Linked DNA regions of Astyanax mexicanus. The protein of the gene in region 3 interacts with the protein of the main gene of each other region in a biochemical or structural test. Links are inferred from orthologs where the notes say so. Each region holds a gene or a part of one and is shown on either strand. Other genes may lie near its edges.

Region 1 (7,785 bases), on a different chromosome or scaffold from region 3:
GAATAGATAAGAGTGCTGGTGCTGGATCTGTACTTTAGATAGGCTACTATAACGGAAACAGAAACCCAACATAAAAATAGGTTGGCATCATCTGAAGCTTTGCTCCACTGCCTGTACTTAAGGTTTAGAAGACATGAATGGAAACAAGCCCATTAAGAAAGAAAGAAGAGGGGAAAGGGGGACAACACTGGTATGGAGGCAATATATCTCCACAAATAAAACTAAGTAATGCCAGGCATTTCTCTTTAAAATTATTGTAATTATTTTTAATTGTTCTAATATTTGTCTTAGAATGAAATTCTCTAATTCAAAAGGCATATACAACCTTTGAGTTCTAATCATCTGTGTCTGATGTGCTGCACCTAACTCTAATTTTAGGTATTTTAAGACTTTAGTGCAGACAAATACACATGTACTAACTTTGCATTTCTATTTATATTGGATACATTATTTAGTTTAGCTATATTAACTCACTCTCTCAATATTGTTCAAATAATCAAAATGTTTATATGGTTAAATATGTTAAATTTGGGTGTTCCAAACCACAAATTACACTTTATAGTAGTCTAGTGGAAAAAACTTGACTCCAGTGACACACACACTACTCAGGGTACAAACAAGGCTTGTGGTGTATTACAGGCCTATATATAGCGAAGCTCTATCTGCTTAGTACACTCCTCTCTCTCTCTCTCTCTCTCTCTCTCTCTCTGTGTGTGTGTGTGTGTGTGTGTGTGTGTGGCAACTTTCCCTCTTCTCAAACCCTGATATCGGACCCATAGTATTTCAATCTGAAACAGTCTTTGCAAACAATTACGGACATTACTTCATTCAATTTATTGGATTACCTATATTTGAAGGGCTATCACACACAAGCACTGTCCTTTAATAAGCAAAACATACCTCATCATTGACAGTAACGTAAAGCGCCTCATTAGCAGCACTGCCAAACACGCAGGCCTGGCGGATGAGTCGCAGTTCCTCAGGAGGCAGAAGTGCAAACACTGGCCACTTTCCCACGTCTAGCATGCTACTCTGCAACAAACAGGATAAACAGACACAAACATTTTTTCCTCAAGCAAGGAGAACAGGATGTACGGCCATTGGACCCTGGTCTAAAACAGTTTTGGACGTTCAAGCCGTTTGAACACTTGACTTAACTGCTTGAGACTTTTCGAACTGCAACTTTATACACAAGCCACAAAATATTACATAACTCAAGCAAAAGGCTTTGGGGCAGGTTAACCAATAACAAAAGAAGAAAGTGGGCTCTGAATGCTCCAGCGAGCTGCCACTATGATCAAGAGATTGCTGGTTCGAATCCTGTTCATGTAGCTCGCCATCTATAGAGCACAATTGCTCTATAGAGCACAATTGGCCTTGCTCTCTCTGAGTGGGTAGATGGCGTTCTCTCCCCACATCACTCTTACAGAGAAGTTGATAAGCACAATGCATCTGTGAGCTGATGTATCGAAACCGAGTGATGCTACTGGGCAATGCTGCATCAGTGCTAGTTTTCACCCTCCTGGTGTTGGGGCATTACTAGTGATAGGGGGAGTCCTAATGTCCTAATGAGTGGGTTGGGTAATTGGCCGTGTTGAGGAGAAAATTTAAGAAAAAATAAATAAATAAAAGAAATAAAATGAAAAATAAATAAATAAATAAAATAAAACAAAACAAGAAAGTGTTTTTTGCTCTCTTACACTTACAGTTAACTGTTTTAGTCTTGTTTAACCACCAAAATGAGAATAAAGCAATAGAACAGTAATTAGCTAAATATTTTTCCTTGATTTTTTAGGGGTAATATTGTGCACCAGGAGGTGCAAATACCTGCACAGCTCTGTGACTTTCCTGCTCAAAACACATATCTTTCTGCTCACCTGTTAGCTAACTGTCAGGTTTCTGAAGTTTGTGCAGGATTATGAAGTTTGTTACAGTAGGGGAATCAGCAAAATGTGCTGGCCTCTGCTTTTGGTAAAATGACTGTACCCCTGTGCTGCAGTACCCAAGTGTACTGCAGCATTGGCCACGTTCACAGTATTAAAGGGTACGAAAATCCATTTGATAACGTGCATTTAAGCAACAAAACGAGTTAAAGGGAACATTTATGGGTAGGATACCGAATTGTTTTAATATGGGTTGGTGTGATTTTAGTCTATTATTTGTCCCCAGGCTGTCAAACTATTATTTATATTAAGCCAACTTTGAATGTGACTAACAGCTGACTGACGAGAATAAAGTGGGCTACAAAAACTAAGCTATTATTTTTCGTACATCCCAAAACTAGCTAACTAACTAACTAATAAAGCTAACTAGCTATCTGTTATATAAGTTAGGTAGACATAGTTACGTATATGATTGGCTAACGTTACACCATGTAGTTACACAAAACAGGGATAATATGGGCAGAAACGCAGTTTAAAATCAAAGCTGGCGGTACTGTATCGCTGTAGTAACGATTTACCTGCAGATTTTACTGAGGCTCTATAAACAGCCAAGCTAGCTAGCTAGCTAGATAGATGGGAAGCTAGCTTAGCTTGCTAAATTGAGAAATGCCGTATAGTTAAAGCACCTAATATTAATACGAGCTATTATTATCACGATATATAACTGTTAGCTAACTATATTGCTAGTTATTGTACACATATCAGCCCAATCTGTTAAAAACACAGATATATCTAAAGCTCAAGTACTTGGATAAGTTAGCTAGCTAGCTAACCTAGCTAACATACTGCTAACTTCGCTAGCTGGCTATAGCCGGCTTGTTTTGAAGCTACACAGGAGGCTCGACAGAAACTCAACAAGCTAGCTAGCGTTGCTAACCAGCCAACACATAATTAAAAAAGTTAACGTCAACATACCTCGTGTTATAAAATGAACGCCGGCGCTTTCAGCCACAGGGTGCTTTAATGTATTTGTTCAGGTTCGTTTCCATTCACAAATCCAGGCTCGTTCAAAGGAAAGTGGTCCGATAATTCCAGGGAGTTTTCAGCAGCTAGCCGGCTGCTGTCATTCTCCTGCCCGCTGAATCAGTCCTTCATTTCACAGCGGATGATGAGAGGAGAGGCATGTTTTTCACACAGCTGACATCATGCAGGAGACGCTCTGCTCGCTTCTGGAGATGTTCGTTAGCTAGTTAGCTAGCTAAAGTTCAACTAAAGAGTAAAACCAGCTTAGGACTCACTGAGAACTGTGCTTCTATCAGAGGAGCCCCATTCACATCACTAAAGCAGTAGCCTTGTCTTCTTAACAGGTCTCTGTGCCAATTGTAAATAATTAGTTTGGTGTCACTTTAACACTTCATGTTTTTCCTTCCATAAACACCCTACTCGGATGGTCGAGGGTACTACTTTTGTTTCTCAATTGATGTCAAGAAAACCTGTAAATGAAAAAAAATTAAAGTCTCCATATACTGTGTTTAAATATATACATTTAATGAACACTTTATTATACTTGTCCATACTCATCATAGGGATGCGGAGAACCCCACCCAGATTAAAATCTCTTCCACTAGGTTATACAGCTTCAGTTCAGTTCATATTCAAGTTTTAAGATTTCAGAAATCAATATTTGGTGGAATAACCCTGTTTTCATGCATCTTGGCATGTTCTCCTCCACCAGTCTTACACACTACTTTTGGATAATTTATGCCACGCCTGGTGCAAAAAATCCAAGCAGTTCAGCTTGGTTTGATGGCTTGTGATCATTCATCTTCCTCTTGATTATATTCCAGAGGTTTTCAATTTGGTAAAATCAAAGAAACTCATCTTTAAGGGGTCTCTTATTTTTTTCCAGATCTGTAATAGCACTGACAGTTGACTGTGGAATATGTTACGTCAAGTGCTGCATCCTATCAGGGTACCACGTGGAAATTCCCTGACTCCTGAGAGCAACCCATTCTTTCACTAATGTTTGTTGAAGCAGTCTGCATGCCTAGATGCTTGGTTTTGTACACCTGTACAGGTGTGGCCATGGAAGTATCTGGAACCTGAGCTCAATGATTAGCACAATGATTCGAGTTAAAACGTTTGGCATGGTATGTGAATGACTATAGGTGTGGTCTGACCACATACTCAATTGGCCAGAAGGAAACTAAAATAGTCCTTTCTCTGTTGGCTCGCAAAAAGACTCTCAGACATTTGGGTAGTGTACCTCCTGGTGAGAGATTATTGACTGCTAGGCAGTGATGCCTCAACAGTGCACTCAATTGTAATTCTGTATTTTACACAGTAGACAGACTTAAAGAGGGGCCTTTTACAAATTCACAATTGAAAAACTCTTTAAGCCAGTCATCATTACTTATTTGCAGTGGTGTCATGAACAAAGTACTTAAACTCCTACAGAACCATATCATCTTTGCAAATTTATCCAAATTCTGTGTGGGATTTGATGACGATCAGGTTTGAGCATGGAGGCCTTGTGCTTCAACGCTGCTTTGGAGCGACACACTGCACCATTGCATGGTGGTGTGATAATCTGAGGTGCTTTTGCATACAATGGTCGGACACCCCTAGAAGTAATACAAGGTGGGACACTAACAGCTCAGTGATATGTGCAGGACAGAGGTGGATCCAGACGCACCCGCAAGTTCCATATTGCAGGACAAACTAACTGTTAAAATTAAACAATGCAGATTATTAGAGGAAAAGAAATAGATGTTAGCTGTTTTGTCCTTATACTGCAGCCTTCCAGCAGAGGCACTGTGTTGGTTTCACTTTTTAGAGATATTGTGCTTTCTATGTTTTCTACAGTCATTGGAGGGAACACCTACCCAAAGAAAGCGAGGCCAAGATTTTATTTATTTATTTTTTTACTAAAATGATTCAAACCTTTGTGGCTTTACTAAATTCACATATCTTGAAAGTCAGACATTTTCTAAATATTTTGTTCTTAAATTGCAACAAAATATGTTCCCACATCTTATTTAGGTCATTTCTTTGGTTTTCTAATGAAATCCAAATATGCCTTTGTGGTTCTCTTGAATAGAAAGTCTTTTGTCCCAGAAAAGGCAGGATGCCAAATGTCAGAGCTCATTATATTTGATTTTTTTGGGGGGTGCTGAAAGTGTTTATTCTCAAATTAAGCATTTTAAGCAGTTTATCATTTATTACTGTGTTTTTTTCCTTGGACTTCTTTATTGTTTCCGTTCTCATGGTTCAGTTATCAATGTTGCAGTGTTTCGCTAATATCTTATTTAAATAGCTTATTTAAGAAAATGCTAAAGGTGCAAACAGATTTCAAAATAGTACTATTTAAATCCTGGACACATTATTCATGTTTATTGTTGGGGAATACTTTTGCAACACATTTATGTGTGTCTGCGTTTCATCCACCTCCGTAGAATTTCAGTGGAAGTCAAAACATTCTCATGTATGGTCACAGGTTTTGGACCAAGATCAGCACTTGTGAAAGTTTTCTGGAAAAGAAAATGGTGGGGTGGGGGGCTCATGTATACACTTTCAGTCTTACAGCATTAAGCTGTGAAAAAGATAAGCAGCATTCTTAAACAAGCAGGAACATGTGTGATTGAAGCACCTTTTATAGGCAAAGGGTTTAACTTGGCATCAGGTATGATTTTTTGTTAACTCTTTCTGAGGCATGGTGATCATTTCTGCAGACAGGACTATCCAGAGAGCTATGAGTATGCACTACATGTACATGAAACTGATGTTTACATGATTACAGATTTCTTTTATCAATAAGTGCAATCAGTCAGTCTGTAGATTGACAGTAATCCTGTAAGAAATTGATAGTGGTTTCGGAGCAGTGCAGTTCATGGGGTGGAGCTGCAACAGAGCCTCAGCCAACCACACTGAGAGAGAAGAAGCTGCTTGTGGTTCTTTTCCCAGTACTGTTCTTCAGTGAAAGTGTCAGTCGGATCCTCACAGATCTAAATGTGAGCATCAGTCTTTAGCAGACCTTAGAAGGTAAGTTTTTATTCTATTGTTGCTGTTTTTACTTTAATTTTGTAAATATCTCACATTTCTACATGAACATTACAATATACCACAGGACTAATATTATACCATAATAACGTATAATATTGTCACTGTCACAGAAAAAAATGTGCCAATTGAAATAGAAATGCTTCAAATTGACTTAATAAAATTAAATCCTTTACATTAACTTTTATTAAATGTTAAGAAGGATTTTTCTTTTCCGATGAAATTGCAGTTTTGGAGAAACAGCAATGATATATGGTATGATATGTAATATAAAATATTCACATTATTATTTACAAGTAGAAATTGCTGTATGTCTTTTTGTTATCCTTCTAGTTTCAAGTTCAATATCTCAGGTGGGTGTATTTCTATATATTTGCTTTGTATTATTTGTAAGTGCTTTGTATTATGTGCCTTATTTCATTGGTCTTTGACAATGAGAGAACAAGTCCATTACAATGGGTATACATCCATTTTTTTAATTGGAAACTTGTTGGCCTCACTTTTTCTAAACAAATTAAATATTCAACCCTCCATCCATTGATATAATATAAAATATCCACATTATTATTTACAAGTAGATATTACTGTATTTCATTTTGTTAACCTTCTAGTTTGAAGTTCATTAACACTTACAGGTTTAATTTTTAATATATATTATTCTATTTTATTACATTGGATTCTTCTCTATTAAAAGAAATCATTAATTCAAAGGTTTTGTTTTAGTGTTTTGAGGACAACAACAAAATCACAACTTTTGCATACCCCTCAGCATCAGTGTGTACCCACAGGACACCTTCTCCTATATGTGCATTAGAAATCTATGTAGTGTGTTGTGTTGTACTTTATTTGTGTAATATCTTATTGTGCTTAGTATGGTCCATATATATATATATATTTGTCATTTTATCATCCCTCATTCCTCCCATTCGCTCCCTTTTTGGTCTTTTTGTCCAAGCCCATGCCTTATAATTTAATTTTCCTCACAGCAAACTAACTGCATGCACTGCTTTAGGGCTGTTTATCATTTGTATATCCTTTGTTCTCCCATTCAGCTGCACAACCATTATGCATTCCTTTTAGTGTATGCACTTTTTAGTTTCTAGTATCTTTATTACTGTATATCGTCACCTGACATTTGTTTTAGATATTTGTCTCAGCTTGTTTCTAATATAATCTTATATACCTGATTTATTTTTACAGGACTTTTACCAGACCAAAGATCTACGATGACTAAGCCGTGTCTGAACTTCACGGTTACTGTTGAATGCAACTGCTCAGTCGGTGCCTTCAAGCGCAGTGTCTACCCAGCTGCCTACCTATCTATCTTCCTCCTGGGACTGACTGCCAACCTCGTCTCACTATGTTTCTTCATCGGAGTGAGGAGGACGATGAAGTCCTTCAGCCCGGTTAACCTCTTCATGCTAAACCTCCTGATTTCTGACCTGATGTTGGTGTGTTCACTGCCCTTTCGAGCGGTCTACTATCTCATGAACTCCCATTGGATCTTTGGAGATGTTGTTTGTCGCTTCATGGGTTTCGTGTTCTACATCAACCTGTATGGGAGCGTTTATTTTCTAATGGTGCTCAGCATAGTTCGCTTTGTGGCAATTATTAAACCATACACCTATATGTACCTACAGAATAGTCGAGGAGCTGTGGTGGTATGCGTCTTCGTGTGGCTGTTTGTGTCTTTGGCCTCGATCCCTCTTTTAGATGCCGGGACAAGTCAGGATGCATCTGGCCATATCAAATGTCTGGAGCTAGACCCTTCTTTGGTGAAAACCATTATCACTCTGAACAAAGGCGCTTTGGGCATGGGCTTTGTCTTGCCCTTTACTGTCAT
Region 2 (7,548 bases), on a different chromosome or scaffold from region 3:
AGCAGTTTTTCCTCTAGTTTGCTGTAGATTTAGCATTTAGCCTAACACTGATACCATAGTTAGCTTTTAGCCTAGCATGTATTTCCCACTGTTGTACTTCTCCTGGTGGTGCTTAGGTTATAGCATGTATTAAAATTGGAAAATTGATGTAAGAATATATATTTTTCTGTGTTACATAACGGTTATCTGTGGCCTTCAGGGGTTAATCTGAATTAAATAAACTGCAGCACATGCATCCCGTAATCTATCTTAATAATTCCCTTTATGATCTCGTGTTTTAATTAGCCGTTGCTACGTGTGCGGATGCTAACGGGGGCTGCTGTTAGATGGCGTTCCTCGCAGGCCTGTTTTACGGCTGTTATTGTACGTTTTTCTCCCCGCGTTTGGGCTGGGTGGTCTCCTGGGTAATGCTGCAGACCTCTTCCCATTACTTATTCATTTTGCACTGCGGAGTAAAATCCTCGTCCAAACAGAGCGATAAGATCCCGCGAGTCTCGAGCCGTGGGACCCCTCGCTGAGGGCTCTTCTGGCCGAGCAGGACGAGCCCCCGGGGCAGGAGGCTTTAGGAGCGCTGAGTACCTGAGCCACTCAGCTGTAATGAAGATTCTCAGGGTAAGAGAGCAGAGATCACTCTAAAATGGCCATAACTGCCGCCCTCTTTACGCCGCGGCTCCATAAACACGGCCGGGGATTTCGCTCCACCTTAGCAACGTCTCGCTCGCAAGAACCGAAATCTCCGGGAAGCAAAAAAGGAAAAAAAAAACGTACATATTGACGCTATTACCTCGAAAAGATGTCATTCATACATCTGATTCAACAGCTTAGCAAGGCTTCCTTCAGCCACATTACCAGGATACCATGGTAACCACCTAGCAACCACTCAGAAACCCCAGCGCATTTACATTTAAGGTATTTAGCAGATGCCCTTATCCAGAGCATCTTCCAACAGTGCTTACATACAGTCAATGTGGTATCACTAAAGCACTAATCACTAAAGCATCTAGCAACCACTTAAACAAACCATAGCAACCACCTGTATAGTAGAGTAGCGTAGCGTTTAGGGGATGATACAGTGTTGAGGAGTGTAGAGGAGTGTAGTGGAGTATAGTATAGTATTGTAGAGTTTAGGGGATGATACAGTGCAGAGTAGTGTAGTAGAGGAGTGTAGAGGAGTGTAGTAGTGGAGTATAGTAGAGTAGTGTAGAGTTTAGGGGATGATACAGTGTAGAGGAATGTAGAGGAGTGCAGTAGTGGAGTATCGTAGAGTATTGTAGAGTTTAGGGGATGATACAGTGTAAAGGAGTGTAGTAGAGGAGTGTAGAGGAGTGTAGTAGTGGAGTATAGTAGAGTAGTGTAGAGTTTAGGGGATGATACAGTGTAAAGGAGTGTAGAGGAGTGGAGTATAGTGGAGTAGTGTAGAGTTTAGGGGATGATGCAGTGTAGTGGAGTGTAGTAGTGGAGTATAGTAGAGTAGTGGAGTGTAGTAGAGGAGTATAGTAGAGTATTGTAGAGTTTAGGGGATGATACACTGTAGAGGAGTGTAAAGGAGTGTAGTGGAGTGTAGTAGTGGAGTATAGTAGAGTAGCGGAGTGTAGTAGAGGAGTATAGTAGAGTATTGTAGAGTTTAGGGGATGATGTGTAGAGGAGTGTAGTGGAGTATAGTAGAGTATTGTAGAGTTTAGGGGATGGTGTGTAGAGGAGTGTAGTGGAGTATAGTAGAGTATTGTAGAGTTTAGTGGATGATACAGTGTAGTAGAGTATAGTAGAGTATTGTAGAGTTTAGGGGATGATGTGTAGAGGAGTGTAGTAGAGTATAGTAGAGTATTGTAGAGTTTAGGGGATGATGTGTAGAGGAGTGTAGTGGAGTATAGTAGAGTATTGTAGAGTTTAGGGGATGATACAGTATACATGTGCTGAACATCAGACCACAGACTGCTTTCCCCCGGCAGCACTTTCTCTTTGAATTCGGCTCTACAGCTTTACAGCAGATTATAAAACTCTACAGGCCTGTTTACCGTCCTATCAGCAGCAGTTCTGCTCGTCCCTCTACTGCAGAAACAGCCTCTGATCTTCTAGAAGAGCTTTAACAGCAGATCCTGGAACACTGCTGCCATGATTTGATAGCATTCAGCCACAACAACAGCATCAGCGAGGTGCAGTTCTGATGTTGAAGGTTTGGGACTCCAGAACATTTGAAAATGAGAAATGTCTGAAATAACAAAAAAGATGCAGAGCTTTCAGACCTCAAATAATGCAAAGAAAACAAGTTCATATTCATAAAGTTTTAAGAGATCAGAAATAATCAATATTTGGTGGAATAACCCTGGTTTTTAATTAATTAAAAAAAAAAATTCATGCATCTTGGCATCATGTTCTCCTCCACCAGTCTTACACACTGCTTTTGGATAACTTTATGCTGCTTTACTCCTGGTGTAAAAATTCAAGCAGTTCAGTTTGGTGGTTTGATGGTTTGTGATCATCCATCTTCCTCTTGATTATATTCCAGAGGTTTTCAATTTGGTAAAATGAGTGAAAAAAAGAAACTCATTATTTTTAAGTTGCTCTTTTATTTTTTGCCAGAGCTGCAGGTTCGAAAAAATGAATTATATGAAAATGAATATAATTAATGTAATTAAAGATTTTGTTTCTAAAAGCAACAAAATCTACTAATTAGCAGAAAATATATTAAACAAAAGCCATTTAATTTTTAGTTTCTGATATGTATGAGTGCGCGCACACATTACCCAGCGCTGTGCGCCACGGCGGACTGATCTTCCCCTCAGTACTGCATGTTTTATCTTGATTAATACGGGTTAACCCTGCGCACTATAATGGAGTTTTTACGTCTGGACGCCTCGGAGAAAGGGCTGTAATGATGCGGTACAGTAATCACGCGATTATTGGACGTGATTATTGGGCGTGATTACGCCGCACTCTGAGGGCACAGCTTTCTTTTTCAGTCATACATATTTCATGGCGCGATTTTACAGCATGAAGACGAGATCAGACGCAGCGCCGCTCGGCTGTACCGGACCTGGGGGCGGCCCATAATCCCTTTGTGCCCACTAATATGAAAATCTACAGGGATTATGGGAAGGGGGAGGGGCTGTTTTTCTTCCTAAACCCTTCAACCTAATCTTTTAATCATAACTCTTGCGTGACATCTTACATGTTTACTGTTATTCTACTGCGTGTTTCATATTTTATACTGTTATTATTTCAATATACAGTATATATGGTCAGTGAAGGAATAACAGTATAACAATAGGGATTATTAAAACAATAGAACATATTGTCGCTGTCCAATGAAAAACAGTTATCTCCAAAACAGCAACTTTACAGGAGAGAGAAAAAACATTGTGAACTTTCAATGGAAGTCAATGTAAAAAGAGTTTATTTCAGGTTATTTTGAAGAGTTTCTATTGGTCCGTTCATCAAGAAATTTTGGCACAGTGTGACGGACAGTTTGTCTGTTCAAATTGTGCAGTAAACTAATAATCGACAAAAATGGAGATAACTGTTTTTCATAGGACAGCTACGATATATGAACAAACAACATCAATACGTTTTTACAGTTCTAACAGTTCTACTTCTTTTTTAACAATTTTAGTTTTTATTCGTGAAAGCATTAAAAAATTTATATAACCTAGAATAATACAAAAGAAAGAAAAGATCATATATATAAATATAATAAATATAATATATATGTAAAATAATGTACAATATTTTATATATTTCCATTTTTGTCAAGTCTTGTAACACAAATCTGATGGTATAGTTCAACTTGCAAAATACAAGAATGTAAAAATCAGACAATAGAGAAAATAATAATTTTTAAATTTTTCCTGAAATTCTAATTGTGAGGGATGGAAAAAAATAAAACTGGAAAAATGGATGAAAACTTTTCTATTTTTGCATTTAGGCTCAAACACTCAGAAAAATATATTAATGATTGTTACACTGACCATACTGGTTTTAAAACTAAAGAACAAAAGCAAGAGGTAGTAAATGTAATGCAAAGGGGGATTAATTACATATAAACCAACAGAGTGTAGGAATGTTTTTTAAAATGTTAAAAAGTAGTAGTAGAAAGTACAGATGATTGTGTAAAATTGCAAGAAGTAGAAGTACGAGTTAGCTAAAGAATATAATTACTTTAATTACTCAAGTATAAGTATTTCTTATACTTAATATTTCTACTTAAGTAAAGTAACAAAGTATTTGTACCTCATTCCTTGACACTCCTGTGAGCTAACCAGTTCTACCACAACAAGGGCGTGGCTTTAGCGTTTAATAACATGAGAACGTTTCTGTTTTTGATACATTTTGTTTCATACGCAATCTCAGTCCAAGTGGGCGGAGCTTCAGGCGCTTCACTGCTCTGAGAGACTGACCACTGTGGACGTTCCGGTGTGTAGAGTTTAAACCTTTGGCCAATAGTTGCGCAGAAGGGCGGGGCTTTGGCACTAGTGGCCAATCCCTTGTTTGGGGGCGTGGCTTAGTGTGGGCTAGGGGTGGAGAGAGAGAGAGAGCGAGAGAGAGAGAAAGAGAGAGAGAGAGTTGGGCAGTGTAAACTGACTCCACCGCGTCTCCCGTTTTTTCAGGCTCGCCGTGTTTGTGGAGCGGAGAGCACGCGGACTGGTTCTCGGTTCGGTTCTGTTGGGTTCGGTTCTGTATGATGGAGGCGGGATTAGTACGCGGACCGCAGAGCGCAGCGCATTGACGGCACCAACTCCCCGCGATTCAGCATTCAATCGCTTTATTCCGGGGATCCAATCCGGATTTTGGGGTTTTTTTTGGGGGTTCTGAGGAGGTTCGGTCCGGTCCAGTCAGCAGTGCAGAGCAGTCAGTGCAGTGGGTAAGTGTGTAAACATAGCTGTTTGTGATGTTTTCATTGATTATTTATTGTTTTTACGCTGATGAAGCTCAATCGCATGCTTGAAGAAATTGCGGCTGCTGGTTTGCGTGATTTTTGCGCGTGTTTTTAGCGTGTTTTATGCGTTTTTTAGCGGTAGATTGTCGTTAGAGTAGGGGAGGGTTTGATATCTGATACTGTCATTAACTCCCAGCAACTCAGCCTCCAGTCTCTCCACACACTGACTAACTGTTGCCTGGATGTTTATGGGGTTGAGGTTTTAGAGATTATATCCTGTTTTTATCCAAATCCTGATGTTTAATTTATTATTCATTATTGTAGAACAAGTATAAGATTAGACAATACCATCTATTGTTGTGTGGATTTTTGCAGTAGACTTTTACAGCAGTGCAGAGAACTAGACAGCATTTTTTGTATAAAAAAATCGGAAAAAGCAGGAAAACAGAAAGAAAAACTACCGCAAAAATGTAAAGAAAGAGAAGCTATAAGATTATAAAAGAACATAACATGCACGTGCGTTCCCAGGGATAATGTACTAGGATAACAACAAATAGCAGATATATAGTAAATAGTAATACAAAATAATGACATCATACTGTACCTACCCACACAAGTTAACAGTATTATATAAATATAAAATAAGGTAAAATAAGCCTTTAATAAAACTAACTAAGCCTTTTTTTGCAATATTCCAGTTCAGTGCAGTGCAGATTACAGATGTGTCAGGAAATATATATATATCTTAATCTAAAAAAAAAAACAGAACATGAAGATTTATACTAAAGTATGATTCTAAAAAGCTACATCTATAATTTTGTATATTATATTAAACCTGGTACTCTGAATAAATATAAATGCTGTCGTAAGCATTACACATTAATGTTGTACATGAACAAACAACAACAAAACAAAAAAGAAATATCAAATACTGCAAATAGAAATGTCAGGAAGTATATATTTACGCAAATATACAAGAAAAAACATGAAAGTAAAAAGAAAATTGTGCAAAAAGTAGAAAATCTTAAACTAAAATATGATTATATGATGCGTGTTTGTGTGTTGTGGTAAGCAGTGAGAACCTAAATACTTAATTAAATGTAAAGTAATAAATTATCTTTTTACTAAGCAAATATATTTAATGTCTCACTACTATTGAGATAATAAGTGTTGCTGAATGAGTGTAAGCAGTTATATTAGGTATAATTGAACAATACATAATATTTTATATGTAAAAGTACTGAGTGAACGGGTGGTGGGTGAAGGTGCATGCACAGCATGCGTAAAACTGCAATACAATGACTGCATTACTGCTAGTCCAGCAGTGCTGTGAGCCATCAAATCTGCAGAAATACAGCAAATACTGACACATCTGCTCTTGTTTGATTGGCTGGTGCGACTGTTTTGGATGTTTCTGCGTTTTTTTCTCTCGCATGCATTCAAATTGTGGAGCTAATAAAACAATATATTTCTGTTAATATATGTATATTCTAGTTTCTGTGTGTTTCTACTATGGTTGCAAGATACCTTAAAAAATGTATGTCATGATATGTAGTGGTTTAATAGGTCTGTCTATTTATGTCTGGAATATATATTGCAATACATTATCAAAATTAGAAGTCACTTATCCAGTTATATTGTGACGTTGTACTGTGATTTTGTATTATAATTCCGTTATATTATGACGTTGCACATCTTGCAGTGTAACCGTGATGTAAATGTCATTTGCACATAGCGAAGTAGGGGTGCACAAAAATATCAATACAGCAAAGTTTAACAAAATTTTGTTTATTTTGTAATACTTTGTTGATTATCAAAAACACAGTATTGATTTTTTTATTATTAGTTTAGATGTAAAGATTGGTGTCAGAAGTGGTTCATTGTTTAGTGTTGTGTTTAAACTTCGCCCACTAGTTAGCAGTAAACATTTGTTTTAGTCAGATTAGATTTTAGTAGTCGAGTCTGAGTCAAGACTGAGTCTTTTAGGAGTCGAGTCTGAGTCAAGATCAAGTCTTTTAGTAGTCAAGTCTGAGTCAAAACTGAGTCTTTTAGGAGTCGAGTCTGAGTTAAAACTGAGTCTTTTAGTAGTCGAGTCTGAGTCAAGATTGAGTCTTTTAGTAGTCGAGTCTGAGTTAAAACTGAGTCTTTTAGTAGTCGAGTCTGAGTTAAAACTGAGTCTTTTAGTAGTCGAGTCTGAGTCAAAACGGAGTCTTTTAGGAGTCGAGTCTGAGTGAAAAAGGAGTCTTTTAGTAGTCGAGTCTGAGTCAAGATCAAGTCTTTTAGTAGTCAAGTCTGAGTCAAAACTGAGTCTTTTAGGAGTCGAGTCTGAGTTAAAACTGAGTCTTTTAGTAGTCGAGTCTGAGTCAAGATTGAGTCTTTTAGTAGTAGAGTCTGAGTTAAAACTGAGTCTTTTAGGAGTCGAGTCTGAGTTAAAACTGAATCTTTTAGGAGTCGAGTCTGAGTTAAAACTGAGTCTTTTAGTAGATGAGTCTGAGTCAAAACTGAGTCTTTTAGTAGTCGAATCTGAGTCAAAACTGAGTCTTTTAGTAGTCGAGTCTGAGTCAAGATCGAGTCTTTTAGTAGATGAGTCTGAGTCAAAACTGAGTCTTTTAGTAGTTGAGTCTGAGTCAAGCCTGATTCTTTTAGTGTTTGTAAATAGTTTTTAAATGCTTTTA
Region 3 (7,342 bases):
GTCGTTTATTCTCTGTCTCTTTTATCACCATCCATCTGTCTTTCAGTCTGTTTCATTCTACATCTGTCTGACAGTTTGTTTCTTTCTCATTTTGTCTTTTCCATTTTACAGCTATCTGTCCCTTTTTCCCATCTGTCTCTCTATGTCTGTCCATTGTCCATTGGTCTGTCTCTCTCTCTGCCACTTCATCTATCCCTCTATCCCTATCTGCCTGTCTTTCTCTAATCGTCTATCCCTCTGTCTGTCTTATCACCACTGTCATTCTCCATTTGTCTGACAGTTTGTTTCTTTCTCATTTTGTCTTTTTCATTCTCCAGCTATCTGTCTCTTTTTCCATTTGTCCATCTCTCTGTCCAGCCCTTTCGTCAAACATCTGTCATTTTATGTCTGCCACTCCATCTTTCTATTTGTCCCACCTGTCCCTATTCCTTATCTGTCTGTTTTTCTCCAATCATCTATCTCTCTGTCTGTCTAATCAGCATCTGTCTGTCTCTCAGTCTGTCTTTTTCTCCATCTGTCTGACACTTTGTTTCCTTCTAACAGTGTCTTTTATATTCTGCAGCTATCTGTCTCTTTTTCCATCTGTCTCTCTCTCTATCTGTCTGTCTCTATTTTCTAGCCCTTTGGGCACCCATCTGTCTTTCTGACAGTTTGTTTATTTCTCATTTTGTATTTTCCACTCTCCAGCTATCTGTCCCTTTCCAGTTGTCTTTCTACATCTGTCTGTCCATTTCTTTATCTGTCTCTCTCTCCTTATCTAGCCCTTTCAGCAACCATCTGCGTTTTTATCTGTCTGACACCTCATCTATCCCTCTATCCCACCTGTCCCTATTTCCTATCTTTCTCCAAACGTCTATCCCTCTGTCTGTCTTATCACCATCTGTATGTCTCTCAATCTGTCTCATTCTCCATCTGTCTGACAGTTAGTTTCTTTTTCATTTTGTATTTTCCATTCTGCAGCTATATGTCTCTATTTCCATCTGTCTCTTTCTCCAGCTGTCTCTCTTTGTATGTACATTTCTCCATCTGTCTCTCTCTCCACTTTTCTGTAAGTTTTTTTTTCTCATTTAGTATTTTAGATTCTCCATATACATGTCCCTCTTTACAGTTGTCTGTCTCTATCTGTCTGTCCCTTTCTCCATCTGTCTTTTTATCTGTCTGTCATTCCATCTATCCCTATATCCTACTTATTCTCCAATCGTTTATCTCTCTGTATGTCTTATCTCCACCTGTCTGTCTCTCAGTCTGTCTCATTCTCCATCTTTCTGTCAGTTTGTTTCTTTCTCATTTTGTCGTTTCCATTCTCCAGCTATCGGTCCCTATTTCCTTTCTCTATCGGTCTGTCCATTTCTTAATCAGTTTTGTCTCTCTTTCTATCCTTTTCTTTTGTCTGTTACATCCTTTTTTATGTTGTCTGTCTCTTTTCCACGTCTCTGTCTTTTTCTCCATGTTGCAATATGTCTCCTTTTTCCAATATGTCTCTTTTCTCATCTCTCTGTTCCTTTCTCCATATGTCTCTTTTTCCATGTCTCTTTCCCTTTCTACATATGTCTCTTACATTCTCTCTCTGTCTCTCCATTTCTCCTTGTCTCTGTCTGTCCCTTTGTCCACCTGCTCCTCCATATTTCTGTCCTTATCTCCTTTATTTCATACATCTGTCAAGATTGTCTATATCTGTTTGTTTCTTTATACATCTGTCTCTCTGTCCATCTTTTCTTTTCAGTTTGTCTGTCCTTACCTGCACCTGTCTCTCTGTCTCTCTCTCTGTGTCTCTCTGTCTCTGTGTGTGTTGTGAACAGTGTTCTGCAGTAATCAGAGAGATAATGAATATTATATACGCACATTAGTGATGCTGCTTCATCACAAACACCCAGACAGAGAGAGAGAGAGAGAGAGAGAGAGTGAGACAGAGACAGAGAGAGAGAGAGAGAGTGAGACAGAGAGAGAGAGAGACAGAGAGAGAGATAAAGGCTGGTTAGATAGGTAGTCTGGTTTGGATGCCTACTGACCAATTTGATATATGGCAATTTCCATTGCATTATATTTCTCTCTCTCTCTCTCTCTCTCTCTCTCTCTCTCTTTCTCTCTCTCTCTCTCTTTCTCTCTCTCTCTCTCGCTCTCTCTGCTCACTCAGCTAATTTACTCTAAGACATGCAATACATGTATCTCTCTCAAACACACACACACACACACACCTGTTCCTACACTTATGCATATTCAACAGGTTTACAAAGTTACCCAATTATACTAATACCAACACACACACACACACTCACACACACACACACACACACTCACACAAACACACACACACTCACACAAACACACACACACACACACACACAGTGACGATGCACACTGCAGATGTTTTCATACCCCGTCATAAAAAAAATAGTGAAAACGTGACTGTGCATCACACACACACACACACACAGACACACACACTATACACACACACTTACACACTTACACTCACACTCAGACACACACTGTCTGCATTCCCACACAACGCCAACAGCACGTCTGAACCTCTGCCGTAAACAACCCAAAAACCTGCAGCACAGAGAGACAGAGAGAGAGAAAGAGAGAGGGATGGAGGGATGGAGGAATAGAGGGATGTAGGTATAGAGGGATGGAGGCATAGACGGATGGATGGATGGAGATCCCCGCGGAAGAAAGGCGGATACGTACCACGCAGGAGCAGAGTGAAGGCAGTTTAGTACGACCCTTCATCAGATACACACGCACACACACAGCGGCCGAGCGAGAGAGAGAGAGAGAGGAGGAGGAGAGGAGAGAGGGATGAGGACAGAGAGAGAAAGAGAGAGAGGCTGGGAGAGAGAAAGGAGGGAGGGGGGGACTGTACTGAGGGGGAAAATGAAATAAAAAAAGAAATGGGGAAGAGAGAGAGACAGAGAGAGGAGGGGGCGTCATAAACTAAAGAGAGAGAAAGAGAGAGAAAGAGGGTAAAGATTGATGGAGAGATGTAAGGATAGTTTAGAGGAAGAGAGAGAAAAGGTAGAGAGAGATAGATAAAGAGAGACAGAGCAAGAAGAATAGGGAGAAAGGTAGAGAGATAGAGAAAGAGAGAAACAGCGAGAGAAGAAGAAAATGGATAGAGAGAGAGATAGAGAGAGAGAGAGTGATAGAGGGATAGATGGGGAAGGCACTAATGAGAGCAGAGAGAAAATCCTGGCAGAGGAAACGATGAGTGAGTCACAGAATATGTTTATGAAAGAGAGAGAGAGAGAGATAGAGAGAGAAAGAAAGAAAGAAAGAAAGAAAGAAAGAAAGAAAGAAAGAAAGAAGTGGAGAGAGCATGGACAAGTAGAGGTAGAAACAGGATAGGAAGAGAGATATAAATATATATAGAGAGAATGACAATAAAAGAGAATTGGCAAAGTGAGAGAATAAAAAATAGTAAAAAGGGAGAGAGAAAATGAAAATAAATGAAAAGAAAATATAAGGAATGTGAAAAATGGAGAGAAAAAGAAAAATAGATAAGAAAAGTGAGAATTAGAGAAAAAAGAGAAAGAGAAAGTCGAGAGAGAGAGCAGTGAGACAGTAAAAGTGTAGAGAGAGATAGATAGAGAAACAAGGGAGAGATAAAACGTTCATGGAGAGAGAGAATGCTGGAAAAGAGGAAAGGGATAGAGAGAGATAGAAATAATGAGGAAAGAAGTTGGAATAAGAGAGAGAAAGGAAATGAACGAGAAAAAAGTAAGAGAAATAGCAAAAGAGAAAAGGATAGAGTGAAACTGAGAAAGAAACGAGAGACAGAAAGAGGAATGAAAAAAGAGTAAAAAAAATAATGAGAAAAAAGAGAAAGAAGAGAGAATGAGAAAAAGGAGAAGAGAAAGAGATTGAAAACTGAGAGTGAGGAAAGAAAAAAGTAGATATAATATATAAAGAGATAGAGAGACAGTAAGAAACAGAGAGAAAATGAAAGGATGAGAGATATAGAAATTAATGTGATAGAGAGAGAAAAAAGAGTAAAAAAAATCAAGAATGGAGAGATGAAAAAATAGAGAAAAGAGAGAGAAAGAATAAGAGGAAATGAATGTGATAGACAGAGATGTAGAGAGAAAGAGAGAGAGAGAGCGAGAGAGAGAAAGAGAGAGATAGAATAAGAGGAAATGAATGTGATAGAGAGAGATGTAGAGAGAAAGAGAGAGAGAGAGAGAGAGAGAGAGAGAGAGAGAGAGAGAGAGAGGTCTTTGCCTGTGCTATTTTCGGAAATTTACGATTTTCTTTTTTTTGTTATTTTCTTCACGCTCGCATAGCTGTTTATACCCACACACTCACCCCACCTCTCCCTCTCTCCCTCTCTCTATCTCTCTCTATCTCCCTCCCTCTCTGTCTCTCTGTCTCTCTATCTCTTTCTTTCTCTCTCTCTCTCTCTCTCTCTCTGTATTTGAATTCATATTCATACTCTGTGACCGTGTCTCTTTCATCCAATCAGAGCTCAGGAGGAAGAGGAAGAGAATTAGAAAGATAGAGAGATAGAAAAAGATAGAGAGATAGAAAGAGAGAGAGATAAAGAAATAGAAATAGAAAGAGAGAGAGAGATAATTTTATTTTCTCTACTAAATTGATGAATGGATTCTGTAAACAGTATTTAATGTTAAAATGTGTGAGTGTGTGTGTGTGTTGTGTGTGTGTGTAGTGTGTGTGTGTGTGTGTGTGTGTGTGTGTGTGTAGTGTGTGTGTGTGTGTGTGTTGGTAGGGGTGATAATTAGTGAGTATCTCAGTAAACAGACTCGACACTATTAAAACAACATCAGTAAACAATTTAAACCCAATTACCAGAATAAACATGCAGATCTAAACCAGTACAGAATGCATGCTGTACTAGTGTGACATAACTGAGTCATACCAGTATGATGTCATAACTACTATTGTTACATCATCCTGCTGTAGAGTAAATACATGGAACATACTGAAAATAATGCTACAAATATATTGTTAAATAACAGTAAGCTAGGACAGTAGCATTATGATGTAACAAGTGTGTAACCTTACACTGACATGATGTAATAACAGGTGAGTAACCTTTTATTGCTATGATATAACAACAGGTTTGTAACCCTACATTGCTATGATGTAACAGCAGGTGTGTAACCTTTTATTGCTATGATGTAACAACAAGTGTGTAACCTTACACTGCTATGATGTAATAACAGGTGTGTAACCTTACACTGCTATGATGTAATAACAAGTGTATAACCTTACACTGCCATAATGTAACAACATGTGTGTAACCTTACATTGCTATGATAACAACAGATGTGTAACCATACACTGCTATGATGTAACAACAGGTGTGTAACCTTACACTGCTATGATGTAACAACAGGTGTGTAACCTTACACTGCTATGATGTAACAACATGTGTGTGTAACTTTACACTGCTATGGTGTAACAACTTTGTTACTCTATACCGCTATGATGTAACAGTAGCTGTGTTACTCTATGCCACTTGATGTAACAGCAGCTGTGTTACTCTATACTGCTATAATGTAACAGCAGCTGTGTTACTCTATACTGCTATAATGTAACAGCAGCTGTGTTACTCTATACCGCTATGATGTAACAGCAGCTGTGTTACTCTTTGCTGCTATAATGTAACAGCAGCTGTGTTACTCTATACTGCTATGATGTAACAGCAGCTGTGGCACTCTATGCCGCTATGATGTAACAACAGCTGCGTTACTATATACTGCTATGATGTAACAGCAGCTGTGTTACTCTATGATGCTATAATTTAACAGCAGCTGTGTTATTCTATGCTGTTATGATGTAACAGCAGCTGTTTTACTCTATGCCGCTTTGATGTAACAGCAGCTGTGTTACTCTATGCTGCTATGATGTAACAGCAGCTGTGTTACTCTATGCTGTATGATGTAACAATAGCTGTGTTACCTCATGCTGCTATGATGTAACAGTAGCTGTGTTACTCTATGCTGCTATGATGTAACAGTAGCTGTGTTACTCTATGCTGCTATGATGTAACAGTAGCTGTGTTACTCTATGCCGCTATGATGTAACAGCAGCTGTGTTACTATATGCTGCTATGATGTAACAGCAGCTGTGTTACTCTATGCCGCTATGATGTAACAGCAGCTGTTACTTTATGCTGCTATGATGTAACAACAGCTGTTACTCTATGCCGCTATGATGTAACAGCAGCTGTGTTACTCTATGCTGCTATGCTGTAACAGCAGCTGTGTTACTCTATGCTGCTATAATTTAACAGCAGCTGTGTTACTCTATGCTGTTATAATGTAACAGCAGCTGTGTTACTCTATGCCGCTATGATGTCACAGCAGCTGTGTTATTCTATGCTGCTATGATGTATCAGAAGCTGTGTTACTCTATACCGCTATGATGTAACAGCAGCTGTGTTATTCTATGCTGCTATGATGTATCAGCAGCTGTGTAAATTTATGCTGCTATCATGTAACATCAGCTGTGTTACTCTATACTGTATGATGTAACAATAGCTGTGTTACCTCATGCTGCTATGATGTAACAGTAGCTGTGTTACTCTATGCTGCTATGATGTAACAGTAGCTGTGTTACTCTATGCTGCTATGATGTAACAGTAGCTGTGTTACTCTATGCCGCTATGATGTAGCAGCAGCTGTGTTACTCTATGCTGCTATGATGTAACAGCAGCTGTGTTACTCTATACCACTATGATGTAACAGCAGCTGTGTTACTCTATACTGCTATAATGTAACAGCAGCTGTGTTACTCTATGCCGCTATGATGTAACAGTAGCTGTGTTACTATATACCGCTATGATGTAACAGCAGCTGTGTTACTCTATACTGCTATACTGTAACAGCAGCTGTTACTCTATACTGCTATGATGTAACAGCAGCTGTGGCACTCTATGCCGCTATGATGTATCAACAGCTGCGTTACTATATGCTGCTATGATGTAACAGCAGCTGTGTTACTCTATGCTGCTATGATGTAACAGCAGCTGTGTTACTCTATGCTGCTATGATGTAACAGCAGCTGTTACTCTATGCCGCTATGATGTAACAGCAGCTGTGTTACTCTATGCTGCTATGATGTAACAGCAGCTGTGTTACTCTATGCTGCTATAATTTAACAGCAGCTGAGTTACTCTATGCTGTTATGGTGTAACAGCAGCTGTGTTACTCTATGCCGCTATGATGTAACAGCAGCTGTGTTACTCTATACCGCTATGATGTAACAGCAGCTGTGGTTCTCTATGCTGCTATGATGTATCAGCAGCTGTGTTACTCTATACCGCTATGATGTAACAGCAGCTGTGGTTCTCTATGCTGCTATGATGTATCAGCAGCTT
Region 4 (6,950 bases), on a different chromosome or scaffold from region 3:
AGGGTACTTCTTCATGATCAGTTTACATACTGACATCCCATGACTTCTGAACTGCCAGTGTAGCTTATAATAATGTAATGGAATATAAATATTATATATGTAATATAATATTGTACAGTTTTTGATTCATATATTACTGTGATATAGAACTGTGGTATTTCCAGTCATATAAATGGTGTTGTGATAGCTTTCGTCAGATATGAACAATATATCTGATGTAAATATATATCTAAAATGTGGACATGTTAATTTTCCTCATAAATTAAAAGCCTTTTTTTTAAACCGAATAACTATTATATTAAAATAAAATGTTGAAAATGTACTTTTAATATAACTTATGGATATGACTGGTTCAAGGTGATTTTTGTATTTTATATATTTTTATTAATTATATTTGTGTAGATTATTTGACAAGCCATAACCTGGTAAGCATGCATTTCTGGGTCATCTCTTTTGCCACTTAAATAGATTATAAAACAAAGAGCACTGAATAAAAAATTATACTTTTAGCATTATTTAGTCTAAAGTCTAAATTCATAAAATGTGAAAAAAATCAGCCTATTTTCTAAAGTTTTTTTTTCTCATAAACTAATCACCTGCACTTATGCACAAAATCTACTGATCACTACTGATCTACTAACCCCATTTCCTTCTGATAGTAGATCAGTTTTTCACATGAAATTTGTGTTCTGCAAGAGATTTAACCCATTAAATATAATTTTAGAATAATGTAATATAATTTGTTCATAAGAAAGCAAGCCAAATCATTTCCGATGCTATTCCTTTACTAAATAAATAAATAAAACAGCGGCCTGCATGTTTGTTCTCTCTCTAAAATGAAAGGCCTAAATGAGAGCGTGCGTCAGTAAGCATTATAAAGGTGATCATTATCTGATATTGGTTTCTGACTCGCGTTGAATTAAAATAATCAGCTTGAACTGATTTATTTGATGATGACCCATCATAACACATGGTGAAGTCATAGTCGTATCTTATCTTAAGGAGGCTCATTAAGAGCTCTGAGATACGCCTGGGGCTGAATCATCACTGTGATTGTGCAGAAATGAAAGAACAGCATGGGAACACAATGCTCTCTGTAAATACACGTTATCTTCTGTTTATGAAGCGATATCTATGAATGGAATCTAGGCCGAGGAGCCTTTTTTCTGTACCTGGGTCTGTAACAAAGCATCTTAGAGTACTAGTACTACAAACCCAGTTACAAAAAAGTTGGGATGTTGTGTAAGGTGTAAATAAATGTAAAAAGAATCTGCAAAATGCAATGATTTTGCATATTTAATAGAATGTTATTTACAATAGAACATTACATACACATTTTACAGGTGCATCTTACAGCACTTCATCCAGATTTCATTTTCCAGCAGGACTTGGCACACTGCCCACATTGCTAAAAGTACCAATTGGTCTTATAATTATAATATTCTAATTTTTTGGGACACTGATGTTTGGGTTTTTATGGGCTGTAAGCCATAATCATCAACAATAAAATACATCAATATAATATATGAGTTTCACATTCACAAACTTAATTACTGAAATAAAGTAATGTTTCAATGATATTCAAAATTCTGAGATGCACGTCGATATTGAAAGAGACACATTTTGCCAATTTAATAAAATCATAAACTCTTTTTGAACTTATGAACCAAAAAAATTGGGATGGAGCAACATAAAGGCAAAGAGGAAACCAAATGATAAGATAATGCAGAAACTCTGCCATCTTCTCTAGGTCAAAGTCCTTTTTAAATATGTACAATTTTGGTTAATCTGCCCATTTTAAATATGCTTTGGCATACTGGCAGAGAAGATGGCACTGTTTATGGATCAAGGTGACCCATGACTTCTTCTTTTTAATGATGCAGCTTTAATTGCATTACTAGATTGCATGGTGAACTGTGTTCACAGACAGACAGTAATTACTGGAAGTGTACCTGAGCCCATGTAGTGATTTCCAGGAAAGACTCAGTACAGGGGCGGGGGGTTTAATGCAATGCCAGCTGAGGGCCTGAAGATCACCAGCATCCAATACTGACTCTTGGCCTGCTGTACCTTGCTCTCTGTGATTTAAAAGTGCCATATACTTTTCAAGCATTTTGGAGCATTTTCCCAACTTTTTGGAGATCTTAGTGTTTTCCATTCAGCTCTACATGGTCTAATGTTGTTCATGAAATGGTAGAATGTGTCAGTTTTAACACTGATATGTGTTCTATGTTCTACATTTAACAGTGTCCCAAGATTTGTGGAACTGGGGTTGTAATACTGACTCTAATCATTTTGGGTTAGATCTATTCTGCAGTTTGTTTGAGTTTTTACCTCACTATCAAGGTTCTCGTATTATCTGATACGGCCGGTGTGGCTGCAGGTCATCATTATATGAGGTGTGTGTGTGTGAGGTCTTCTGCTGCTTGTCTGGAATGAAGATCTGCAGCCACATCAGCCTTTTGCAGATTGGATTGGTCACCCTTGGCTATATTCATTCAGCAGGCTGTAACAGGCCACATTTATGGCTCAGTGCTTCCATCTGCTGGCAGTAACAGAAGGAGGAGGGAGGCTGGAGATAGCACCTTATTTAAAATCTAAAATCTAGCCAGTGTGCCTGCAGGTTTTTATTACAGCCAAGCTTAAGCATATCATCAATTGATGTCATCAGCTGTTTGACGACTGATCAACTGATTAAACAGGTGGAATTAAATGTGCTGTTGATTGTTTAGAATGAAAATCTTTTTTTACATGCCTCATTATCTCAAAGAGTGGTGCTGCAATTGATTCTACAGTAGAGTTTGCCTCCTCCATTTCTCTGCTGGAGAAAACACTGAAATAGGACTTAAAACAATGCTATTTTCGTCCAAATAAGTTTGGTAACCAGTAATTTTCTGCATTGTAAAAAATGTAAAGATATTTTTAACACCTAGGAAACTTTTCCTATGTAAGCACCTATGTAGATATACATTAGGTCAGCTATTCTCAACTGGTAGGTCACAGACACGTTCTTGGCGGGTCATGGACAGCTTGTAAAACATATATATAAAATGAAATATCACTTTTCCAAAAAATAAATAAGGCCACAAAATATTTTACTCCTCTGCTTATATATATATATATATATATATATATATATATATATATATATATATATATATATATATATATATATATATATATATATATATATATATAAGCAGAGGAGTAAAATATTTTGTGGCCTTATTTATTTTTTGGAAAAGTGATATTTCATTTTATTGTAATAACATTTTTCATGCATATGTATGTTTAAATGGGTTGAGAACCCCTCAATTTGGATAACCAACACTACGTAGATAACACGCCCATGTGTGGCCCGTATGGGTTACCCAACAGGAAACCAGATAGTGAAGGACCCCATTAGGGTCAGTAATGGGACCAGAAGACAATAAATATGGGCCCCATGTGGGCTATACACTGCACATGTGGCCTATACACTGCACAGTAGTAAAAAAAAAAACGCTTATAGCCCATGTTTCACCCATGTGAGCCACACATGTGCATGCTGGCTGGGCAAACTGTCCCATCAGTCCAACTGTTCAGTATGATTTCAGTATTTAGTGACTACAGAAGCGAGCTGAGCACACATTGTGATGTGTACCAAAGTACACAGAAACATCATCCACGTCTACAGCACAGTTGATCCTGAGAAGGTGCTGCAGAGGCAGAATTACCACAATAAATTTTTTTTTTTTAATGTTAGGAAATGTTTGTAATCATTTTAAGCAGGACTGATATGTTTCAATACTTTAAAGGAACACATTTCAGTTATTAATGAAATGAAAATATGGTTTAGGGTTTAGTGGCTCTTTAACTAATTAGTCAGATTTTATAGTGTAGTGCGTGTTTGGCTCTAGCTGCAGAAACTGACTACATCTCCCAGAAGTCTGAGCGTGTCCACCTTTTACGCAGACTGACGTTCCTGTCGGGCACGTAAACAAGTCAACGGGAAGCAGCGCTGTGGAGCCACCCGAGCAGGTTAGTTTAAATTAAAGCTGTATTTATCGTGTTTTATGTGCTGATTTTAGCTGAAGCTGGTATTTAATGTGTTTATTTATTAGAGCGCTGAACTGTCGAGCCCGCGGCCGGTTAGCTGGGAGCTTCTGCCCCGCTGTAAAAGCCTAATCCGCGCTGCTCAGGCTAACAGTGCTAGCGCTGCTGCAGCTTTACTGCTAACCGGATAGATAGCCTGTGTTAGTTAGGTGTGTTAGCTTCAGCTAGCTAAATAAGTAACGTTAAGTATTTAATTACTCTAAATGTGTGTTTAAAATAGAATACAGAGCTTAAAGTGAATCCTCCATAAGATTAAAATAAAGCCATACACTCCTATAGGAGTAATTAAAGGAATTAGCCAGTGTTAGCAGTGTTATCAGAGGAAACTAGTTACTTAGCTTATATAGTTAAAATGACTGTATATGTGACTGTCAGGAGCTTATACACAATTTACACAGTTTTGTACAGCTAAGTTAGATAACATATTTTTATACTGAGCTAGTTATTTTTTATTTCTGTTATCCTACAGCAGGGGTGTCCAAACTTTTTTTTGTTGGGGGCCAGAAGGAGAAATATATTTGAAGTCACGGGCCACACTGTTTAATAAAACAAATAATGAAATATACCTCTTTAAATAATAAATTTTCCTCATTATTTTCATTTACACACCATTTTACTTGACTAACTATCTTTATCTTTGACAGTGTTGTGTAAACTAAGATTTTTTCAAATTGATGTTTAATTTCATGATGTCTCTTAATATTAAACTCCTTAATTACAGCAACTTTTAGACTCTTTGGTCCGTTTTTCTGTGCTAGAAATGCGCACCCTCTCCGCTTTTAGAATCTGTACCCCGTTTTTCTGAGCTAGAAATGTGCACTCTCTCCACTTTTAGACTCTGGCCCGTTTTTCTGCGCTAGAAATGCGCACCCTCTCCACTTTTAGACTCTTTAGCGTTCAAACTTTGAATCTCACATTATAAAAACCTGCTTAACAGCGGGCCAACTTTCATTCTATTTCTAAAATACCTCGAGGGCCGCTCCAAAAAAGAAAACGGGCCGCACTTTGGACACCCCTGTCCTACAGTACTAGCCAAAACTTTGGACACACCTTCTCATTCAATGTTTTTTTCTTTTTTGTTTCTTTAATTTATTTCCTACATTATACGTTAATATTAAAGGCATGAAAACAGTGAAGGGGCACATAATAAAATTATTATCTGACATGGGTCATTGTCTGACACTTTAAATGCTTCCATACTGCTCACGTGTTTGCTGCATTTACATAGAACAGGTGACTTTGTGTTGGTTGCTTGATTTTTGACCAGATGATTTGACTTTTTTTTTATTCGATGTAACAAGTTAAATTATTTGGAAATTTCATTTATTCAACAGAACACATGAATGCATTTATTATAAATTTGTTCCCTAAAATGTGGTTGCCAAATGCGATGCTTGTTTCGGTGAAAAATGGGAAAATGAGCTGAAATCTTTTGTGCAATACAGACGGAAGACATATTTTTAAAGAAGGTGTAACTTTGTCCTCACCATTTACATGTAAGGGCCTAGTTTACTTCTACACAATTTAGCACAGAGACAGTACAGGCATTATACAGTATAGAGTATAGGTCATCTCTGTCCAATGTAAAACAAGTATCTGCATTTTGGTGATTTTTATGTTATTACATAATTTGAACACATAAACTGTGCCAAATTTCTTAATAAATGAGCCAATAGAAATTTTCCAACATGACCTGAAATAAACTTAAACTTTACATTCACCTCCATTGGAATCTATCTTATGTAAAATTTCTGTTTTGGACAGAGTCGATATGTTATTTTCAGTGTTGAGTATATTAAATGATTACACTGATGTCTTTTGGGAAACACAAAAAGAGAATATGGGTAGAGAAAGGGTGACTAAGCCTTCTGAGGTCTGTCATGTGACAGAACATGAGGGTTTCCAAAACACACCATTTGTTGTGTCCAGTGAGGACACATCAGCTGCCACTGGGGTCAGAACTGGGTAGAACTTACTAGGGGTGGGCGATATGGCTCTAAATTAATATGACGTTATTTCAGGATATTTTTGCGATAACGATATATTTGGCAATATAGGAAAACAGAAAAATAATTCATTAATTTTAGGAATATAGTATAATAGTTTAAGAGTATATCGTAATGTGGCAAAATAAATAATATAGCATAAAATAATATAATGCAGCAAAAAATATTGCAGAATATTTTCATGCATATAAACTGCAAACTAAAACTATAAACTAAAACAATTATACAATAAATACACTTAAAGCTTCACAGTAAATAATGGACTACTTTTAAGACAAACCATCCCTATTTTCACGATATGGACTTACAATATCATGATATTTCTGTGTCACGATATATTGTATACAATATAATATTGCCCACCCCTAGAACTTACACATTAAACAGATTATCTGACACATATTTGGTAATGTTGAGAGGTTTATTAGAAATGTCATAGTGAACTTTTAGTTTCAATAGGGTATTGGCATTTTTGGACATTCTTAAGTTCTTTAGGCTATTTTCATACATTTAATAACATTCAGTTGGCAGGTTTAGTAGAATATAAACTAATAGGTTCTTTTACTTTTTCTAACATTTATAACACCTTCAAAATCATGGTATAATATTCTATTTTTTTTCAGTTTGTGTTATTTTATAATGCATTTATATTTATATTATATTTTATTTCTGCAGCAGGAGTGGCATAAAGTTTTCCAAAAGCAGTGTGTAAGACTGGTGGAGGAGAACATCCCAAGGTGCATGAAAACTCTGAATAAAAACCAGGGTTATTCCACCAAATATTGATTTCTGAACTCTTAAAACTTTATGAATATGAACTTGTTTTCTTTGCATTATTTAAGCTCTGAA

The links.
Region 1: the proteins of disks large homolog 4 (region 3) and cysltr2b interact in a biophysical measurement, tested with the Homo sapiens proteins (2 studies listed by IntAct, with this or other methods). The link is inferred for Astyanax mexicanus from reciprocal best matches to the Homo sapiens genes DLG4 and CYSLTR2.
Region 2: the proteins of disks large homolog 4 (region 3) and sema4c form a complex in vitro, tested with the Homo sapiens proteins (2 studies listed by BioGRID and IntAct, with this or other methods). The link is inferred for Astyanax mexicanus from reciprocal best matches to the Homo sapiens genes DLG4 and SEMA4C.
Region 4: the proteins of disks large homolog 4 (region 3) and ralbp1 interact in a biophysical measurement, tested with the Homo sapiens proteins (2 studies listed by IntAct, with this or other methods). The link is inferred for Astyanax mexicanus from reciprocal best matches to the Homo sapiens genes DLG4 and RALBP1.

What each region holds. Positions count from the first base shown.
Region 1 is NC_064425.1:22,199,461-22,207,245, reverse strand, and holds the start of cysltr2b (cysteinyl leukotriene receptor 2), read left to right. Parts: upstream 1-4,769; 5' UTR 4,770-5,924; intron 5,925-7,142; 5' UTR 7,143-7,168; coding exon 7,169-7,785. Other genes in the region: rcbtb2 (RCC1 and BTB domain-containing protein 2), read right to left, coding at 901-1,026. UniProt on the Homo sapiens protein: Receptor for cysteinyl leukotrienes. The response is mediated via a G-protein that activates a phosphatidylinositol-calcium second messenger system.
Region 2 is NC_064429.1:37,682,797-37,690,344, reverse strand, and holds the start of sema4c (semaphorin-4C), read left to right. Parts: upstream 1-4,539; 5' UTR 4,540-4,858; intron 4,859-7,548.
Region 3 is NC_064408.1:2,144,179-2,151,520, reverse strand, and holds the start of disks large homolog 4, read right to left. Parts: upstream 3,019-7,342; 5' UTR 2,935-3,018; coding exon 2,692-2,934; intron 1-2,691. UniProt on the Homo sapiens protein: Postsynaptic scaffolding protein that plays a critical role in synaptogenesis and synaptic plasticity by providing a platform for the postsynaptic clustering of crucial synaptic proteins.
Region 4 is NC_064411.1:46,521,280-46,528,229, forward strand, and holds the start of ralbp1 (ralA-binding protein 1), read left to right. Parts: upstream 1-3,933; 5' UTR 3,934-4,020; intron 4,021-6,776; exon of another isoform or gene 6,777-6,838; intron 6,839-6,950. UniProt on the Homo sapiens protein: Multifunctional protein that functions as a downstream effector of RALA and RALB. As a GTPase-activating protein/GAP can inactivate CDC42 and RAC1 by stimulating their GTPase activity.